Linked DNA regions of Rattus norvegicus. The protein of the gene in region 1 purifies or fractionates together with the protein of each later gene. This does not show direct contact. Links are inferred from orthologs where the notes say so. Each region holds a gene or a part of one and is shown on either strand. Other genes may lie near its edges.

Region 1 (4,340 bases):
AAAATTTTAAATTTTTTTTGATATAGAGTCTCTCTCTAAAGTCTTGGATGACTTGGAACTCACTAGGTAGACCAAGTTAGCCTTGAACTGAGAGATCAACCTGCCTCTTGATTTATCCTGAAAGATTTATTTTTATCCTATTTGGTGTGTGTGCGTGTGTGTGTGTGCGCGTGCGCGTGTGTGTGTGTTGTGTTGTGTGGATGTATGCCACATATTATTTGAGTGCCTATGGAGGTCAGTAGAGGGTGTTGGGATCCCTGGAGCTGGAGTTACATACAATTGTGAGGCTCCCATATGGATTATGGGAACCAAGCTTGGTCCTTTGGACAACATCAAATGTCCTTAACTGCATGACCTTAGAGTCATCTTTACAGTTCCAATGGACCTTTTCAAGGCAAGGTCTCATGTAGCCAGCAATGACCTTGGGCTCCTGATCTTCCTGTGTACATCTCCCAAGGGCTGGGATTATAGAAATATACCATCAAGCCCGGTTTGTCAAGTATGGAGAATGAATATAGAGGTCTTTATGCATGCTAAGCATGTACTCTTCCAACTAAACTACATCCCTAGCCTTCCTAATCAAATTTTATTACAACTTAACTTTGGAGCCTGATCAACTACTAATCTTCCTGCAAAATTTCTAATGTATCCAGATAGATCTACGTATCCTCTGGGTAGAAAACAGCAACAAAACTGTACCACTATTTCCTTTGAGAAAATAACTTTCTAATTTTGTTTGCCTATATAAATTCTTCAGAGTTCAGTTCAAATGACATCTTATTATTGCTGTCATTTTGGCTAACACATTTTGAAAACCATCAGGTAGTTTTAAACACTGCTTCCTGTGTGAAGCATGACTATAAAGTAGTAAACAGACACCCACAAAGATACAAGCACCATCCTTAAACCATGTATTATGGATCTCAAAAAGTAAGCTACGTAAAAACCCGGCTTAATAATCTCCCCTTCTCAGAATCCCACCATACCCAGCGTTTGCCTCGGAGATTCAGTATTTATCAACTGATTTATATATAAATGGCATAATCAGAACAGGAAATGCAAAAGATAAACTGCTGGAAGAAGCTGGGCATGGTGGCACATACCTGAAGGCTGAGATTAAGTGGATCTCTGTGAGTTCAAGGCCAGCCAAGTCTACAGTGAATTTGAGACAAGCCAGGGCTACATAGTGAGGCAAAACAACTAAAATAAGGAAAAAGAGAACTTCTGGAAGACACCTGTCATTAAAGCACATATAGTTATTTCTTTATGCTTCAGTCCTCAACTATAAAATATAATACCTATCTATCTAAAAGGGCTACATATTGTACACACCTCACTGATGTGAACTTTAAACTACTGTGCTAATAGCTAATTGGGATAACTGAACTTCTATTTTTCTTTTTTTGAAGCAGGATCTCATGTCCTCTAGGCTGGGCTGGAACTCCAGAACCTTCTGCCTTCACCTCCTGAGTGCTGGTATATAGTACCACAAGTTCCCTAAGATTTAACATATCCAGAACACCTCTTGATTTTTAGCTCTTCAAATTTTTTCTTTCCATAACTTCCTACTCTCAGACTACTATAACCTTTGTACAGAACACCCACAATTCCTCTGTTTATATTTAGTTCTTTATTTCTGTAGGCTTCACCTTTATCATGTATCCTGTATTCATTTGCTTCTCTACTGCTAAGTCCTGGTCCAAACCATTCTCTTTTAGGAACACTGATTTCTGATTACCCCATTTTCACTTATGTTTCTGCTGAATATCTTTTTAAAAAAAAAAATCACTAAATTAGCTCATTCCCCCCCCCCCCCATGTTGAAATTGACTTCAACTTGAACTTTAAACCTACATTGCCTTATAAAGGCCTCTACCTATTTTCCATCAGTACTGGAATTGTTCCTTTCCTTGAATTCAATGTGTCTTCTGCCCCTCAGATATTCTAAGCACCCCCCCCCCCATCTTCCCCTCCAAAACAGGTCTCCTGATGTAGTTTCTTCTATCTAGTATCTTCTCTCTGTCCAAGGACCGATGGCTTTGTTTATTCTTGAATGTTACCTACTCAGAGATGATTCTGTGAACACGCGCCTTATGCATGGCAGTCAAGAGTTCTACCACTGAGCCACGCCCCCCCCCAATTTTCCCGAATAACTAACTTTATGAATGTAAGAATTGATTCAATTCTAGTCCTTTCTTTGAGCGGGTTAATCTCCAAGTCCCTGACGAGGAAGGCAACTTGCTATAAACCAACAAGTTTGTGACAGACTTTAAACTAAAATCTTACTGTCTCCAGAAACGTTAAATCAGGTCTCCCGAGTTCCAAACAATGGCTCGTTTTCATAGAGTCACAAACAGCGGTTAGAGAACCCGGATCACAGAACTTCTCGCTAGAGGTAGTCCCAGATATTCACACCCAACCCAAACCCACCCCGGGAAATCAAGTTATCTTTTAGAGTTGTGAATCGCCAAAGGGCTTCTGACACTGTTGCCCACTGGCCACCCGTAGCCCTGTTATCTTACACCTTGCGCTGCAGGATGCTAGCCACAACGGTCACCTAAACTATTATCTGATTGGCTACTTTTGGCCCACTACTCACCTGGCAATTCCCGCATAAGGTAGAAGGGACCGCTTCCAGCCGTGGACTTATCCGCTCCCACGGGGGCCGAGGTCGCGGTCGAAGGTGGAGCCGTGCCTGGACCACCTCCCGGAGGAGGAGGGGGTGGCGGCGGAGGCTTTCCAGGCCCGAACCCTAGTGCGCTTGGTGGCGGTGGGGGGTCAGTTTGAGCTCCGAACAGGGCTGTGAAGTTCTCCATAGCACTCGCCGCTCTTGGTTACCCGGGATCTGGCGTTAATTACTTTCATTGGACAGCACTTTCACAGGGTACCACCCTCTTGGTTTAACAGCTTCCCATCATTGGATACGCTAAGCTCCGCCCACCATCTTCCGGCAACTTACTTCCTTTGCCCTGAGAGATTGTTCAGGTAGTGTTTCACAGACTAATAGCCAATAAAATGACTCAGGTAGAAAAGCGACAATTATGAGGACCAATAGACTATCTAATTCATTTTCCGATCTATTATAGCACCCAATAAGAGATCTACATCCGGGTCTGGAGGCGTTGCATCTGATATTTGGCCCAATAGAAGCCTTGCTGTTGGGGGCGGAGGACGACGATTTGGGGAGCGGGAGTGAGCCTGCAAGAGTGTAGGCAGGGAAGATGGCTGTCCTCGCGCCTCTGATTGCCTTGGTGTACTCGGTGCCGCGGCTTTCTCGATGGCTGGCCAGACCTTATTGCCTTCTGTCTGCCCTGCTTTCCATTGCTTTCCTCCTCGTGAGGAAGCTGCCGCCGATTTGCAACGGTCTCCCCACGCAGCGCGAAGATGGCAACCCGTGTGACTTTGACTGGGTGAGCGCCCCCTGCCTTAGTAGCTGTCGACCTTGACCATCCATCCCTGCCCTGCAGGTGCATGTGAAGATGGGAGGGCGGGTTTCGAGTGTAGCTTACACACTTGAGTGGAGAGCCTAGGCCGTTATCTAGTCCTTACCTTCGTGTTAAAGATGGAGAAACAGATTCCAGGGTTTCCATCACAGATGAACAATATTCTTCTGTGATTCCAAGTTCCTTGGGGCGCCACTGACGAAGACTAGGCCCGTGGTAGAAATACCATTTAAATTTTTCTAATTTTTAACGAAGTGATCACAGTGTAGTTAGGCGATTTTTCAAGGTAACACAGCGTTCACTAAGTGCTGTCTAACCTTAATCAATTCTCTGATAGACCGGCAGACATAGGTCACTGACTCAACAAAATAAATGACTTTGGTGGAAAAATCGTCTGCTCTGGGCATAACAACTGTGCGCACTATCTTCCTGAGGTGGGATAGGAAAACAGGGAAGGTTACAAAAATACGAGGTGGGGGGAAGCCCATCAACCATCTAAGAAGCAATATTTAAGAACAGTTAACATTTACCGTGAAGGTTGTGGACATAGAGCTAATATTTTTTTTTCATATACAGATATTTATGCTATAACAGCAATGACCAGGACTAAAGGTATTAATATAACCTTGGGTAGGCCTCACATGTTCTGGGACTCTCAAACAAGATTATTAACTTTGTTTACATTAAAGATACAATACTGTTGCGGGGCTTTGGGTTGTACCATTTTAACCCAGCACTCTAGAGACAAAGGCAGGTGACTTCTGTAAGATTGATGTAAGCCTGATCTATATAGGGCTTTCTAGATCCATCAGGACTACATAGTTAGACCCTAACTCAAAACAAAAGAGCACCAGATACCCTACTTATTTCTATTCCTGTACTCTGGAATCTTACTTTA
Region 2 (4,010 bases), on another chromosome or scaffold:
ACAAATTAAAAAAACTCACTGAAACAATTGATGACTTTTAAGAGTTTGTGTCCGTTACCATGAAACAATTTGTAGGCCTCACTATTTTCCACTGTTATTAATCTCTTCTTCCGTACTTTATATTGTTCATAAACTAATAACCAACAATGACTATTACTAAAAACAAAGATTTCCTGAAAAGTAAAAAAGACTTATCAACTAGTTTTTATATTACTGAAAGCCCATAATGAATGGTACATGAAAATGCTAATCACATTTACTTTATATAAAAACCTCTGCCAGGCCTTGGGAGTACATGTCTTTAATCCCGGATTTGGGGGGTAGAGGTGGTGGGCGGGGATAGGTGGATCTCTGAGTTTGAGGCCTGTCTTAGTCAGGGTTTCTGTTCCTGCACAAACATCATGACACAAAGCAGGTTGGGGAGGAAAGAGTTTATCCAGCTTACACAGTCACATTGCTGTTTCATCACCAAAGGAAGTCAGGACTGGAACTCGAGCAGGTCAGGAAGCAGGAGCTGATGCAGAGGCCATGGAGGGATGTTACTTACTGGCTTGCCTCCCGTGGCTTGCTCAGCTGGTTTTCTTATAGAACCCCAGGACCACCAGCCCAGGGATGGCACTACCCACAATGGGCTTGGTCCTCCCTCCTTGATCACTAGTTGAGAAGATGCCTTACAGCTGGGTCTCCCGAAGGCATTTCCACAACTGAGGCTCCTTTTCTGTGATAACTCCAGCCTGTGTCAAGTTGGCCTTCAAAACTAGCCAGTATAAGGCCACAGAGGTTTAGGAAGGCCAGTGATAACCTTAATAAATGAATTAAAAATGTATTTACTGGGTTTTAAAATTTGTTTTATTCAGGTTTATTTTATGCACAAGTGCTTTTGCCTGTATGCATGTATGTACCATTTGGGTCCCGCGCACTGGTAGGTCAGAGGTCGGCCTATCCGACCACCTGTGATTGTGAGCAATCATGTTGGTTCTAAGGCCCTCTGAAAAAGCAGCAATGCTCCTGCCTGCAGATCCAGCTCTCAGGCCCCTAGTTGGTCCTTTGAGACTGGGTCTCACTAAGTAGCTTTAGCTGGCCTGGAATCCTAAGTGTAGACCAGACTGGCCTGGAATTCACAAGGAGCTGCCTGTCTCTACCCCACAAGTTTTGGGAAAAATAAATCCTATTAAAATAATTAATCTGGGTATACCTCCTGTGGAGGCTCCACTCTTTCAGTTCTCAATAAGTCCACATGCACTCTGCTTAAAAAATAATCCAAAAGTTATTACTACTTTGATCAGATCTTAGTCTTTTTTTTTTTAAAGATTTATTTATTTCATGTATGTGAGTACACTGTCACTGTCTTCAGACACACCAGAAGGAATCAAATCCCATTACTAGGTGGTTGAGCCACCATGTGGTTGCTGGGACTTGAACTCAGGACCTCTGTAAGAGTGGTCAGTGCTCTTAACCACTGAGCCATCTCTCCAGCCCCAGATCTTAGTCTTTATCAACCCAAGTATTAGTTACTTCCTCTTCACATTTAAAAAGTATACTTAAAAGGATACATCTCTTAGTCCTTTTCTTGTACATTATTCTGTATCCACATTCTCTGCATCTGATTGGATCCCTGGATTTTATTTCATTTTCGGTGTGACACTCTGGGAAAGAAAGCACATTTATTCAAAGCCTGAAAGAGAAACACTCCAGGGAAGCAAACAGTAACAACATATTAAAAACAGGAGGAAACCAGGGCACCAAAACATCCAAGTACATTCTTATTACTGAACAGACCAAGGAGAAAGAAGAGCTGTAGGCAGTACACCTTTTCCAGATAAAAGGAAGAAATCTTAATAAGGTAGAGGGATTTTAAAATTAACAATCGCTAAAGTGCTCCACGTTATAATTTTAAAGATTTGTACTCATGTATGGAAGGATTCTTTTTAATGGGAGGGGGGGGCGTTCCTAAGTAAAGCATTATTTAAATGTTAATCTTACCTCCACAAATATATATCATTGGCTGCTGCTTTGGTGGTTGAACATCTTTCTGGGTGTCCATTGTTCGTGCCTGAAATGAGAGCCAAAGACTGAGTAACAGGGCCTTCGCACAAAACATGCCCCATTTGATTTATCTTTTTCTCAGAAGCTATACGAGGTTCTGATTTTCCGACCAAAGAGGAAAACCTCAGTAGAATGTTTGCCTAGTGTGCAGAAGCCCAAGAATCAATACCCAATATTACGGATGGGGAAATTAAAAAAAAAAAAAAAGTAATTATCTACTTCCCCTAAACAGTGATGTGGGCTGGGTCTGAAGGATACAGCACATTTTCAACAATAGTAAATACATTATGAATGTTTATTACTCTTCAGGATCCTAGAGGGTATTACACACGAAGAAACGGAGGCTAAGGACATGTTGGTTTGTCCAGTATCACTCCGCAAAGGAATTCCGATTTGAGCTGGGAGCAGTAGCTCCGTCAAAGCTTGTCTCAACATTAACTCCACCGGGGATCTTTATTTTCGCATTTGGTTCTTTAAGAAGGCTTTGAGAGTCTTCACTTTGTAATTCAGGTTAGCCGAGAACTCACTTTGTAGCCTTAGATTGAAAGTCAAGGTGCTTGTTGATGGCAGAATTCTCCTACCTCTGCTTCCCAAGCGCTCAGATGGCAGGCGTGTGCTACCGCTCTCGGTCGTCCAGGGATATTTTAAAGCCAGGTGTCTCTCCTAGTTTTGCCTCCAATTTACCTCCCAAATCACCCGCCGATCCCTTACCTCCGCAGCTCCGGAAAGCGTCCCTCCTCTGTGCACGCAAACGCTTTCTCCGGCTCTTAGAAGCAAGAGACACTACCGGCGCTGCTTCGCCAACTTCCGGCGCTGACTTATGACGCAAAAGCCCTGTCCCTTTCTGCCTGGCAGTACCGAAGAACTAGGGCGCTTGTTGGGGACTGGTTTATAGTGTTTCTCTCCTTAATTCCTGTAGGATTTTGTTTTGATTTGCCCCTCTCTCCAGGGTAGCAAAACATTCCCACAGCTCGGCGTTCGAGAGTCTGTGCTTGTGTAACGGCAGATAGAGCAGGAAGCCAAAACAGGTGCTGCTGGAATCTTAACCCAGCCATTGCTTGGGCGAACACCAGCAGGCCACCCTACCAACACTTCACTTCCCAATATCACGGTTTTCAAATTGTTCAATACCCATGCAGGTTTTTGTTTGTTTGTTGTTTTCAAATTCCAGTTTTCTTAGTTTCTTGTCACCTCTCTTCTATTTTATGTTGGGGAATGGAATGATAGGGGAAGCCCGAGGCTTGATAGTCTATGTAGCCCAGGCTGAGCTTGCTCTTAAACCGGCGCAGTTCTCTACCTTCGCCGCCTCAATGCTGAAATTAATTGCGCAAATCACAACGCCTGCCCATCTTCCTTTTTGAAGCCAAGGTTTTCACAACTAAGGTTTTCACAAGGACAACTCCATCAATTACTTCCACTAGTTGGTGGCTTTAGCTTTTCTCGTAGTATTCTCCCTCTTGTGTTTGATCAATTCAATAGAGTACAGGTGGTATGTGTTCTCACAGATCAAACTTTTAACTCAGTAAAAATCTGTTGGGTTCAGGACGTTTACACTCAATTATTTCACACCATTTATTTTAAAAATAGAGTGGACAAACTAATAGAAGAAAAACTAGGGAAGCATCTGGAACACATGGGCACTGGAAAAAATTTCCTGAACAAAACACCAATGGCTTATGCTCTAAGATCAAGAATCGACAAATGGGATCTCATAAAACTGCAAAGCTTCTGTAAGGCAAAGGACACTGTGGTTAGGACAAAACGGCAACCAACAGATTGGGAAAAGATCTTTACCAATCCTACAACAGATAGAGGCCTTATATCCAAAATATACAAAGAACTCAAGAAGTTAGACTGCAGGGAAACAAATAACCCTATTTAAAAATGGGGTTCAGAGCTAAACAAAGAATTCACAGCTGAGGAATGCCGAATGGTTGAGAAACACCTAAAGAAATGTTCAACAT
Region 3 (4,298 bases), on another chromosome or scaffold:
AAGTCCATTTACCCATTCAACCATCTATTATCCATCCCGCAAATCGACAATTTTTTGAGATGTGCCAAATGCTATGCTGTGTACCTCGTGCAATAATGAAAATATTGTCCTTACTGTATCAGTGAGAACTACAGTCCACTGAGAATGGGGAAAGTATGAGGAATAAAGATGGTGAAACATCATTACAGATGATAAATACTCGGGATTTATTATATACTTTCTTCACTTTTTGGTAAGCTCAATACATTTTCTAATAAAGTTAGATATGAATAAAAACTGTATTTTCTTCCAAGCAAGATTTGGATTTGACGTATGCTATAACACAAGGCAAACTGCACCGTGAAGTTATTACATATAGCGTATTAGATGAGAAATGTTCATGGCAGGGTGGGCAGTGGAAGGAAACCAACCATCTTGGTGAAGGCAAGTATACTGTAGAAGGCCTAGCTCACACTGAGTGACGGATTTAGCCTCATAGAGCCCCATTTAGGTTTTAGGCTAGGTTGGAGATACTCGTAGTTCAGAGGGTGAGCAATGAAGAACTAGTCTTCTACAATGCCATCGTCTTATCCACTTCCTTCTTCCTTCCCTTGGGTTAGAGCCAGCAAATAGTATATCATCAACATGTACCAGGTACTATAGAAAGGCTGCAGGTAGTTCTGTGTGCATCTTCTCCAGAGCTGGGAACTAGGAGTCTAAAACATTCCTCAAGTTATGGGGAATGCGACACAATCAGGCCAAGGGCAGATCAAGCACACAGCCTTTCCCGATCAAAGCAGAAGAGTGAGGTCAGAAACCTGAGCTCCAGCAGTGGTAGGTTCAAATTCCGACTAGCTTTTGCAGCTTTGAACAAGTCATCTAAGCTCTCTGAGCTCACACAATTTCCTTCATTTATAAAGAGGTTGAAGTCAAACCTTGGAGGGTTTGTTGTTAGAAGCAAATTCAGACCCTCAAGATCATACAACCAAAGGAAGACTCCATAAATGGCAGCCATCATTCTTGGCCAAGTGCTGGCGCTTTCTCCTGGGCGCGCCTCCTGCAGGGTCCCTTAGGACACACTGGGCCCGCCTCCGAGGCTAGGTCTCAATGCTCACTGCTGGTGGCCCGGCATCTGCGTGTCTACCTGGAGAAAGCGAGGGGCGCCGGCAGGTGGATTGACCAGATTCCCCGAAAGGATCGCCCCCTCCCCGCGGTTCCCATCCCTGTGATGCGAGCAGGTGAGGTGTCGCCTAGGCTGCCGGGATGGCGACCGCAGGAGGGGTCGAGGCGGAGGGCGCAGCTCGAGGCCCGGGGTCCCTCCTGGTGCTGGTTCCACAGCCGGGTTAATCCTGCAGCCAGCTGGGGCTCAGGGCCGGTGGACTGCGCGCTCTGCGGCTGCGAAAACCCGGAGAGGCAGATGGGAGCGCTCGAGGCGCTCGCAGCCAACTCCTCCGCGGTCCGGCCGCCAAGCTGGGCATGCTCAGTGCGGCCGTCGCGCCGCCGTCCGCCAACTCGGGAGCTCGCGCTCCCGGGCCGTGGGGGCGAGAACGCCGGCGGCGGCGAGCGACGCCCCCAGGCAGCCGCAAACTTCGCGGCGTCCGCAGTCTGGAGAGCCAGACACCTCGCAACGTCAAATCCAATTCCCCAACCCTATCGGAGCGATGGAGGCTGCGGCCGCCAGGGCGTCCCGGCCGCCCGCCCCTGCCTAGCCGCTAGCTAGGGACCAACAGGTAAACTGTTGGGGGTGGGGATCGGGGCGCGCGACGTCTAGGGGTGGCCCGGGGAGCCGAGACGCCCGCGCTCCGGATGTGTCCGTCGGTGCTCGCGGCCACCTTTGCTCACCCCCTCCTCAGCCCCGAGAGGGCCAGCAAAGGGTTAAGTCGGCCCCGCGCCACAGCGAGCGCGGCCCCCTCCAGCCACCGCGGCCGCTGCAGCCGGCAGCCAGCAAAGCGCCCGGGCGCCGCCGAGGGGACCCGCGCAGCTCGTGCACTAGCTGAGCTCGGAGGAACCGGCCTCGCTCGGCGTCCGCATCCTCGCCTCTCGCGGCCTCTCTCCCTCCGCGCCCGCCGTTCTGTGTCTGGGCGGCGGGTCCACCGGGTGCAAAGCTGCGGGCGCGGGGCACGGCGAGCCAGGAAGTGGGCGCGGGCCGCTGCGCAGCGCCTCGCGGGCCCGAGGACGCTTAGCTCTCGGCGGGCACCGAGCCTCCCGCCTAGGCGCCAAGAAAAGTTTTTTCCCCCTTTATGCCCCTCCCCCACCCCAGCCTGTGTCCCCCTGGGTGGGTTTGGGTTCATTGGTGAAGAAAGTCACACGTTCCCATCAGCTGCTCCTCCCCCTAGGGACCGGGTGGGGGTGGCGGGAGGCCGGCGCCGCGGCGGACCCTGGCCGACCTCCAGCCCCGCCGCCGCCCGCGGAGCAGGCGTCCCGGGGCTCGGCGCAGCGGGGTGCCCACGAAGGCGGCCCCCCTGAGCGCGTCTGCGCGCGGGCAGCGGCCGTCTCCAACCTGCTTTTTCTCCTGCCTGCAGCGCCACGGCGAGCCAGAGTGGAGGGAAGAGGGAGTCTGTCTGCAAAGTGCTGCTCCCTGGTGCTCAGAGGCGGCTGCTCCAGCTCCAACTCTCATTCATTTCGCCGGTTAACATGAGAGATCATGGCCGCCTTCGGGCTTCTCAGCTATGAGCAGAGACCGCTGAAGCGCCCGCGGCTCGGGCCGCCCGACGTCTACCCGCAGGACCCCAAGCAGAAGGAGGTAAGGGCGCGGGCGGCCTCCGCGGTTGTGCGGCGCTCCGCAGCGCTGACCCCGGGCCAAGCTGGCCCGGCGGCCGTCCGCGGCGCTGCGGGGGAAGGGCTGCGGAGGGGATCGGAGGCGGGGCTCGGGTTGGGGTATCAGGGACCTGGGCTACTGAGACCTGGAGCCTGCCAACCCCCGCGCTCCACTGGGCGGTCGCTCTGCGGGGGGCTGGGTCGCTTCGCGGTTGTCGGGCCTTGCACTGCGCCGCTGGGCGCTTTACCGCTTCTTCCTCGCTTGCATCTTCCTTCTCGCTTTCCTTCGTTTCTGTTTGTTTTATTGTTTTTCACTCCGTCGCTTCGATAAATCCTGGTAAACTTTTTGACAAATGCTGGAATGCAGTACATCGGACACCGTGGTCTTGCGTTTTGCGCCAACGGTATAGGCACGGATGGGGGAGGGACCCTTTTCACATCCTCCAGTTTGGAATGGAAGTCGTTTTTAGCGAGGTGATCATATATTTGGCTCTGTGAATGTATCTCTGTATCTCTCCTTTTGAAAAAAAAAATTAAGAAAACAATATTGAAGAGAAACTCTGAAATTTGTTTCTAGAGAGGCAATCGGCTTTTCCGGAGGCTGTTTTATATGTGTAGAATCAAGCAAGTTACCTTAGAAAGGAATAGCTTTCAGGATCACTTATTTCTTTGAATGAAATTAATTGGGGAGACCTTGGCTGTTGCACTTACAGTGGCTTCAGTGGTTAGTGTAAGCTATGTAGGTATGTGGCAGGAGTTAACAAGTAATTATGTAACAAGTCTCCAGCCAGAATGGTGATTGCCCTTGGCTATACAATTTGCCCAGAGATTTGCCTATCTTTTCCTTTATCGGTCACCTGCTCCCCAGCTGTCCTTTTAGACGGTGCCAACTACAGCCCACCCATCTTCCCTTTTCTATAGTTAAATGTGAAACGGCTCTGTGTGCTCCTCTTTCTGTGAGCCGGAAAAGTTTGCATGTCCACTGATTTCACAAGAGAACTTTGCAAGTAAGAGTTCCTTTGGGCTTCTGTTTTGATAAATGTATCAGTCTCATTAGTAGAGGCTCAGCCCAGACTGGTTAATAATGTCTGAGAAGTCATCATGAGCAATGCCTTTTGGCCTTATCACATTGAATTTGAGGATCAGCGGGAGTAGTTAAGATTGAAGATGGCTGGAAAGTCTACAGGTGGGCAGCATTTCCTCACCCAGCTCCTAAGGTTTAGAAAGGATAGAGACTCTAAGGACCAAGTGTAAATAAAGGACGTTGATTTAAGCGTTACTGGTAGAATTCTAAGTTTTGGTAGGGATGGGGCGTTGACTTTGCTCATCTTATAATTAATGTCTCACTACGAGTTTATAGAGAGAGATGTAATGAGGCAGCTCCTTAGCTTCCGGTTGGTTGCTTGGATTAGCATGTGTGCTTGTTTAGCATTCAGTTTTACACATGACAGTCAGTTCAGGATTTGGACCCCGGAAGGAATAATTTTGGATTTTGGGTCACTTTCTAGAAACCTAAGACTGGAAGAAGCGACTGTAGAGGGTACCTTTCCTACTTTGGTTTG

Evidence for each region. The genes of interacting proteins can lie anywhere in the genome.
Region 2: the proteins of Med19 (region 1) and Polr2k purify together in Homo sapiens (affinity purification with mass spectrometry; 3 studies listed by BioGRID and IntAct, with this or other methods). This does not show direct contact. The link is inferred for Rattus norvegicus from reciprocal best matches to the Homo sapiens genes MED19 and POLR2K.
Region 3: the proteins of Med19 (region 1) and Med12l purify together in Homo sapiens (affinity purification with mass spectrometry; 3 studies listed by BioGRID and IntAct, counting the BioPlex papers as one, with this or other methods). This does not show direct contact. The link is inferred for Rattus norvegicus from reciprocal best matches to the Homo sapiens genes MED19 and MED12L.

The regions. Positions count from the first base shown.
Region 1 is NC_086021.1:90,167,348-90,171,687, reverse strand, and holds the start of Med19 (mediator of RNA polymerase II transcription subunit 19), read right to left. Parts: upstream 2,860-4,340; 5' UTR 2,816-2,859; coding exon 2,599-2,815; exon of another isoform or gene 2,410-2,598; intron 1-2,409. Other genes in the region: Tmx2 (thioredoxin-related transmembrane protein 2 precursor), read left to right, coding at 3,221-3,409. UniProt on the Homo sapiens protein: Component of the Mediator complex, a coactivator involved in the regulated transcription of nearly all RNA polymerase II-dependent genes.
Region 2 is NC_086025.1:69,240,063-69,244,072, reverse strand, and holds the start of Polr2k (DNA-directed RNA polymerases I, II, and III subunit RPABC4), read right to left. Parts: upstream 2,841-4,010; 5' UTR 2,758-2,840; intron 2,054-2,757; 5' UTR 2,045-2,053; coding exon 1,984-2,044; intron 1,647-1,983; coding exon 1,554-1,646; intron 1-1,553. UniProt on the Homo sapiens protein: DNA-dependent RNA polymerase catalyzes the transcription of DNA into RNA using the four ribonucleoside triphosphates as substrates.
Region 3 is NC_086020.1:145,401,860-145,406,157, forward strand, and holds the start of Med12l (mediator of RNA polymerase II transcription subunit 12-like protein), read left to right. Parts: upstream 1-1,458; 5' UTR 1,459-1,709; intron 1,710-2,501; 5' UTR 2,502-2,623; coding exon 2,624-2,722; intron 2,723-4,298. UniProt on the Homo sapiens protein: May be a component of the Mediator complex, a coactivator involved in the regulated transcription of nearly all RNA polymerase II-dependent genes.